Saccharomyces cerevisiae S288C: one gene and its partner. The protein of the gene in region 1 purifies or fractionates together with the protein of each later gene. This does not show direct contact. Each region holds a gene or a part of one and is shown on either strand. Other genes may lie near its edges.

The links. Proteins that work in one complex are often made in the same cells at the same time.
Region 2: the proteins of NOC4 (region 1) and MPP10 purify together in Saccharomyces cerevisiae (affinity purification with mass spectrometry; 5 studies listed by BioGRID, with this or other methods). This does not show direct contact.

What each region holds. Positions count from the first base shown.
Region 1 is NC_001148.4:819,130-823,282, forward strand, and holds NOC4 (ribosome biosynthesis protein NOC4), read right to left. Parts: upstream 2,295-4,153; coding exon 636-2,294; downstream 1-635. Other genes in the region: ASN1 (asparagine synthase (glutamine-hydrolyzing) 1), read left to right, coding at 3,491-4,153. UniProt on the Saccharomyces cerevisiae protein: Involved in nucleolar processing of pre-18S ribosomal RNA and ribosome assembly. Has a role in the nuclear export of 40S pre-ribosomal subunit to the cytoplasm.
Region 2 is NC_001142.9:437,193-441,146, forward strand, and holds MPP10 (rRNA-processing protein MPP10), read left to right. Parts: upstream 1-1,672; coding exon 1,673-3,454; downstream 3,455-3,954. Other genes in the region: AVT1 (Avt1p), read left to right, coding at 1-1,418; MRX12 (Mrx12p), read right to left, coding at 3,802-3,954. UniProt on the Saccharomyces cerevisiae protein: Involved in nucleolar processing of pre-18S ribosomal RNA. Required for the early cleavages at sites A0, A1 and A2 during 18S ribosomal pre-RNA processing.

The sequences.
Region 1 (4,153 bases):
TATTTAGTCTATGTCAAGCGAGAAAGGGGCCCTATATCTTCCCTCCTCCTTGCAATTGAATTTTGTTTGCATTCTATATTATCATATAGTTTCATATCAATTGCAAAAACTTTTGCAGCCAATGTTACAAAATTGTTTTCAATCAAAGAAATACAGGTGTGGTGTCCTTCACCATCGATATATTAATATTAATATATCATGAATAAATATAAAAATTCAAGGTAATGTACTTGTGCACTTCTTTTAGAATATAGCAATTTCCCTTAGCTCTTTTTCAAATTGTAATTCTCTACAATACATAAAAAGAAATTGATCTTTGGTTCAACTTTATATATCGCAATAAGCAATTCTCAACATTATGAAAGTTTATCTAAATTAAACAATCTTCAACAATAGAATGGTCTCTTGGCCCAGTTGGTTAAGGCACCGTGCTAATAACGCGGGGATCAGCGGTTCGATCCCGCTAGAGACCATTTATTTTTGACCCAGGTTTTTTTCCTAGGCAAAATTGATAACAGGGACTTACTATTTTCTATTTTTTTTTTTTTTTACATCTCAAACAAGGGAAATCGATGACTCTGTTGATATAAATGTATATATACACACTTTTAAAACTTCGTTGTTCATCTTCGCTTTCACCATGCTACCCCAGGCAAGTAGACGTTACCTTGGGATGACGCTTCGCTATCGCCGTCTTCATTATCAAAAACGTTTGTGAAAGCCTCAAATTCTAACGTAGGAAGTGTCTTCAACTTTCTTGAAGATTCTGCATTGAGCAAAGAATCATAGTTCCAGTCTAAGAAATCTTCCATGTTATAACTTAGCTTCTTAAATGGTTGAGCAAATATCTTCGCCAACGTGGCTACATTAGGATGATAATGTTCCATCAATGACGCCAGCTCCCACAGAGAGGAATCCAGTGCATGAGTTAACTCAGGGTCCGATTCATGAACATCGAAGGGATCTACATAGTTTTCTTTCAGAGTTTTCAAGTTCGCCACTTGGTCAGGTGTCTGGAATGGGTTGGAAATGAAGGCTGGGTTGTGCAGCATAATCATACAATTCGGATGTTTCCTGATTAAATTATAGATGAAGGGAATCACGGTGACAATAGCAGAGGGTGGTGATTCTAGGGTGAGTCTGGCTAGCTTTTTGATGAAAGATGCTACTAAATGGGCGGATAAATGTGTTGATGACAAAAATACGTCCATTAACCTGAAAAATCTTGCTCTGTATTTAACATGCATTAAGTCTGGATTTATAATTTGATAAAGTTTCATATAAAAATTTGGATATTCCAAGTTGAATCTTTTCATCAATTCAAAAAGGCCATTCAGAGCCAAGATCGGAACAACACCGGCGTTTTTATTAGAGCTTTGCAAATTGTAGGAATCAGTAAGGAAATCCATTAGTTTAGTTGGAGTGTGGAAATGAGGTATTATTCTCTTATGCAAAATTAACAGAATAGACTTATACTGCTGTAAAGACAATTGGCCGTTTAAAAGGGATAACCAATTTTTCTCGAAATTGGACTTGAATTTGGACTCGTTCTCTATGGCTTGTGGGGGATTTGGTACAAAGATCTCTAAATCTGCATCAACACTAGAGCAATGTTTGTCATGATTTACTAAAGCTAACCATTTACCAACGTTTTTCAAAAGCAAGTCCTGGTAGGCTGGATCCTCTAATAGTTGGTTAAATTCTGATTGAAAGTAGTATTGAATATCTGCAAATTTCGTATAATATTTTTCCGTGAATTCTACTATGATTAAATTTTCAGACGCACCCGAGCTTTTGACATCCTCTATTTCACCCATGTTCGAGGACCATAGGGCGATGATTAACTTTCTGAATGTTTTATTGGGGAAAAATGGTGCGCCCTTTTCAGATGCAAAATGAGTTGATTCCAGCTCTGCAAGTTGAAGATAGACATCAAGCGAATCTAACCCAAGTGATGTTTCGAAAGGTATGTCCGAAATGATAGCTAACAGCTTCGTCTTGAACGCTTCATACACCTTTCTACACCAATTAACAAACTGTTCCTTCTCTAATGTGCTCTTTTTGGACGAAGGAAGGGTCAAGTCGCCGCGGGAAAACAGCTTTCTAAATATCTGGAATAGCGACATAACCAGAAATCTCAAATTTTTTTCTGTCTCATCTTCTTCCAATTGAGTAACATTTTCTGGAATCACTAGTTCATTGATTAACTTGATAATGGAGTTGTACTGCTTTCTGTCACCCGCAGCAGTCAGCCTCTTGGCAATATCTTTAATTTCTGATATAAGCAATACCATATTCTTTGACGTTTCTTTTTAATAGATCTCTCTTCATGGCAATAGAGGATGATAATTACATCTCATCTCATCTCATCAAAACCGTAATACACTTTTTTTTTTCTCAGTTGGAAAATTTTAGTGAAAAATTTCAAGAATAGCCCTAAACCTTCAAATACGAGGATTACCCGTAGAGAAGTGCTGAAAAACTTTTTTCTTTTTCTTTTTTTTCGATTTTCATTTAACAGGTATAAAAAGCGAAACACTCGGTACATATATTTTACCAAGACGCGTTAGATTTTCTTTGGAGGTTTCATTTAAAGAAACCAATGACCTTCCAAGTTTTTAAAAGAATACGATGATATTATTTGCGTTTCAAATCGAACAATTCTTCTCGGAGCGATCTGAGGTTTTAATGGAGATAGCGGTTCCTGCGCAACCCATTGATCTTGTTACATTCTTAAGAATGACAAGGACGCTTTTATAAAATTCTGATTCTTTTTTCTTTCATTCTTTTGTTGTTTTTGACTTGGGAGTAGTCATCTCATCTGTACACAAGTAGCTTTTTATATGTTCTTAAATTGTAGACTAGTCAAAACTTGTGTCCTTTAAACCGTGCCGAAACAGTTTTAAAGCGGACATCCAGGGAAACTTGCCGTTAACAATAAGTGACCTTGCATGGAAGACTGTCGATTGGTCTCTGTGGAAACCAGTGCATATCTAAATTAAATCTATTGTCATCACGAATGCCGCCCGTGTTCGTGCAACGTGAGCGCAAATACGCCTGGGGTCTGTCTTTCTGCGCTGGAAAGCACCTTCGGGCATCAACTACCGTTTCTTATCGCTGGCACTATCTATCCACCAATCACACGGCAGCAGTACTGCTGCCGTGGACGGCAAATTAGGTACAGGGCCTATGACTGTTATCATTTGGCAGGCTCAGACAGAGAGAGAGAGCACAAGGAAAAGAGCCTTAACTCATGTAACATTTGACTCATTCTGTAAACTGAAAATTTGCTGCCCACTCGAGATGACAAATAGTTCGTTCTTGAATTTATGCGCATTTATAGATACGCATATATAACCCTATAGTGAACGCCACTAGGAGACAGATTCTGTTTGGACCCTGATCGCATACTCTTCTTACCTTTACATAATAAAATAAGAAAAAGTATAACTTGCTTTACGCTAAGGATATAAATCGGACGTAACTTAAGATGTGTGGTATTTTCGCCGCTTTCAGGCACGAAGACGTGCATAGATATAAGCCAAAGGCTCTACAACTATCAAAAAGAATCAGACACCGTGGTCCAGATTGGTCCGGTAATGCTATCAAGAACTCCACTATATTTGTTCATGAAAGACTAGCCATTGTCGGTGTGGAATCCGGTGCTCAACCAATTACTTCTTCAGACGGAGAGTACATGCTATGTGTTAACGGTGAAATCTACAACCACATTCAATTAAGAGAAGAATGCGCAGACTACGAGTTTGGAACACTGAGTGACTGTGAGCCTATCATCCCAATGTACTTAAAGCACGATATCGACGCTCCTAAGTACTTGGATGGTATGTTTGCTTGGACTCTTTACGACGCTAAACAAGATCGTATTGTGGCAGCCAGAGACCCAATCGGTATTACGACATTATATATGGGACGCTCTTCCGCTTCTCCAAAGACCGTTTATTTTGCATCCGAACTAAAATGTTTGACTGACGACTGTGACACTATCACTGCATTCCCACCGGGCCACGTATACGATTCTAAGACTGACAAGATCACCCGTTACTTCACACCAGATTGGCTGGACGAAAAACGCATTCCTTCCACCCCAATAGATTACATGGCAATTAGACACTCCTTAGAAAAAGCCGTTAGA
Region 2 (3,954 bases), on another chromosome or scaffold:
ACAACGATAGAGTTAGTACAGCCAGCATGGCTATTCACGATGATGATTATGGGTCCATCCAAAATTCAACAATTGGGGATTCTGGGTCAATATTACGCCCTACTGCCTCCTTAACAGAAATGATGAGTGGTGGAGCGGGGAGAAGGTTTACAAATAATGACATGGATTCAATTGTAGTGAAGAGAGTGGAGGGTGTAGATGGTAAGGTAGTAACTCTTCTTGCTGGTCAGTCGACCGCTCCACAGACCATATTCAACTCAATCAATGTACTGATTGGTATTGGGCTCCTGGCGTTACCTCTTGGTTTGAAATACGCCGGCTGGGTTATAGGACTTACTATGCTTGCAATCTTCGCCTTAGCGACATTTTGTACTGCTGAACTTTTGTCTAGGTGCCTAGATACAGATCCAACTTTGATATCTTACGCGGACTTGGGATATGCAGCATTTGGTACAAAAGGGCGCGCACTAATTTCTGCTCTTTTCACACTTGACCTACTGGGTAGTGGGGTGTCCTTGGTGATTCTCTTCGGAGATTCTTTAAATGCTCTATTTCCTCAATACTCCACCACTTTTTTCAAAATAGTTTCATTTTTTATCGTTACACCCCCGGTTTTTATACCATTGAGTGTTCTATCTAATATCTCGCTTCTGGGAATCCTTTCAACAACCGGAACTGTGCTAGTCATTTGCTGCTGCGGACTATACAAGTCGTCTTCTCCAGGTTCATTAGTTAATCCGATGGAAACGAGCATGTGGCCGATAGATCTAAAGCATCTCTGTTTATCTATAGGTTTATTGAGTGCCTGCTGGGGAGGACATGCGGTTTTTCCCAACTTAAAGACAGATATGAGGCATCCAGATAAATTTAAAGACTGTTTGAAAACTACCTATAAGATAACATCGGTTACGGACATAGGTACTGCAGTTATTGGCTTTTTGATGTTTGGAAATCTTGTTAAAGATGAAATTACTAAGAACGTTTTGCTGACGGAGGGATATCCAAAATTCGTTTATGGTCTGATTTCAGCGCTTATGACTATCATTCCTATCGCAAAGACCCCATTGAACGCAAGACCTATCGTTTCTGTATTGGACGTTCTGATGAATGTGCAACACATAGATGAAGCGGCCAGCGCCATAAAAAGAAGAGCTGCGAAAGGCCTTCAAGTATTCAATAGGATCTTTATTAATGTTGTCTTCGTTTTGATAGCTATTAATTTCCCTGAATTTGATAAGATTATCGCATTTCTGGGGGCCGGTTTGTGTTTTACAATTTGCCTAATTTTGCCGTGTTGGTTCTATTTAAGATTGTGCAAGACAACAATCAAACCATGGGAGAGAGTGGCTTGTCACGTAACCATATGTATTAGTGTCGTGTTGTCCACATTAGGTGTTGGTGCTGCAATTATTTCATAATCGACGAGGGGCATACTTACTCTACTTAAAATTCATTTACATTAGCTCTGTACTTCTGATAATGAAAAACCATTGCGTAATATACATATTTTCGTGTAGAATTATTTCCATAAAATATTCACCGCCTTTTCTGTACTGGCCGCCGGCATGCGAGGGAAGCAGAAAATTTTCAATTTTGCGATGAGCTCTTGAAGAAACAGTGTTTTGTTATGAATAAATGATGTGTGCACGAAAGACCCAAGGAAAGTCGTATAATGTCAGAACTCTTTGGAGTATTGAAATCTAATGCTGGCAGAATTATTTTGAAGGACCCCTCCGCCACTTCTAAAGATGTTAAAGCATATATAGATTCAGTTATCAATACCTGTAAGAATGGGAGTATTACAAAGAAAGCAGAACTGGACGAAATCACTGTTGATGGTTTAGACGCCAATCAAGTTTGGTGGCAGGTCAAACTAGTTCTTGATAGTATTGATGGTGATCTAATTCAAGGAATTCAAGAACTCAAAGATGTTGTCACGCCTTCTCACAATCTCTCTGATGGTAGCACCCTGAACTCATCATCCGGGGAAGAAAGTGAACTAGAGGAGGCAGAAAGTGTTTTTAAAGAAAAGCAGATGCTCTCTGCTGATGTTTCTGAGATTGAGGAGCAGAGTAATGATAGTCTTTCCGAGAACGATGAAGAACCTAGTATGGATGACGAAAAAACCAGTGCAGAGGCAGCTAGAGAAGAATTTGCGGAGGAAAAAAGAATTTCTTCTGGGCAAGATGAAAGGCATTCTTCACCCGATCCTTATGGTATCAATGATAAGTTTTTCGATCTCGAAAAGTTCAATAGGGATACTTTAGCTGCAGAAGATTCTAACGAAGCTTCTGAGGGGAGTGAGGATGAAGATATAGATTATTTTCAAGATATGCCTTCAGATGACGAGGAGGAGGAGGCTATTTATTATGAAGACTTTTTTGACAAACCCACAAAAGAACCTGTGAAGAAGCACTCTGACGTAAAAGATCCAAAAGAAGATGAAGAATTGGATGAAGAAGAGCATGATTCTGCCATGGATAAAGTGAAATTAGACTTATTTGCGGATGAGGAAGATGAACCGAATGCTGAGGGAGTGGGAGAAGCCAGTGACAAGAACTTATCTAGTTTCGAAAAGCAACAAATAGAGATTAGAAAACAGATAGAACAATTGGAAAACGAAGCGGTTGCCGAGAAGAAATGGTCTTTGAAGGGTGAAGTAAAGGCAAAGGATCGTCCCGAAGATGCATTGCTCACTGAGGAACTTGAATTCGACAGAACTGCAAAGCCTGTTCCTGTTATAACAAGTGAGGTCACAGAATCATTAGAAGATATGATTAGACGAAGGATACAGGACAGTAACTTTGACGACCTTCAAAGAAGAACCCTGTTAGACATCACACGTAAGTCTCAACGGCCTCAATTTGAATTGAGTGATGTTAAATCCTCGAAGTCGTTAGCAGAAATATATGAGGATGACTACACACGCGCTGAAGATGAATCTGCATTAAGTGAAGAGCTTCAAAAGGCACATTCCGAAATATCAGAACTTTATGCTAACTTGGTATATAAATTGGATGTGCTTTCATCAGTGCACTTCGTTCCTAAGCCAGCAAGTACTTCTTTGGAAATTAGAGTTGAAACACCCACTATATCGATGGAGGATGCTCAACCTCTCTATATGTCGAATGCCTCTTCTTTGGCTCCTCAAGAGATATACAATGTCGGTAAAGCAGAAAAGGACGGAGAAATTCGCTTGAAGAATGGTGTTGCAATGTCTAAGGAAGAATTAACCAGAGAAGATAAAAACAGATTGCGCAGGGCTTTGAAAAGAAAAAGATCGAAAGCTAATTTGCCAAATGTAAACAAAAGATCTAAAAGGAATGATGTTGTTGACACTTTGTCAAAAGCCAAGAATATTACTGTTATCAATCAAAAGGGTGAAAAGAAAGATGTTTCCGGTAAAACGAAGAAGAGCAGATCAGGGCCAGATAGCACAAATATAAAACTTTGAACACGCCGAAGAAGACTTAGTTTGTATTTAGGTAAAAAATTATTTCTTCATAACTCTGTTCACCCAGCATTTTTTATGGAATATCGACCTTGTAATGTCATTAACCCCTTAAAGGACCACTTAAAGAAAATGAAGTGCATCATGAAATATTCATGACGAGATGCGGAACATATACACTCATAAATACCAGAAGAATGTGCTGAATAATTTTTTGTTGGTAATTGGCTGTCATTTAAAGTATCGTTGAAACAAGAGGTATTGGAAGATAGCTAATTTTAGTATTATTTATGACGTTCTTTCCTGGATAAATGTAGATGTATATACGTAATAAAATGTTAATTAGTAAGTTATATGCTTTCCATATAATGTTCTATCTTAGTCTGCATAACTTGTTTGCTTGTTTTTGTTTCTAACGCTTCTCCATACTGGGCTAAGAGATTTTTTATTTTTTTTGCAGCAGTCGGCCCTGATATCAGCTTTTCTCCTAGTGCGCCATCAAA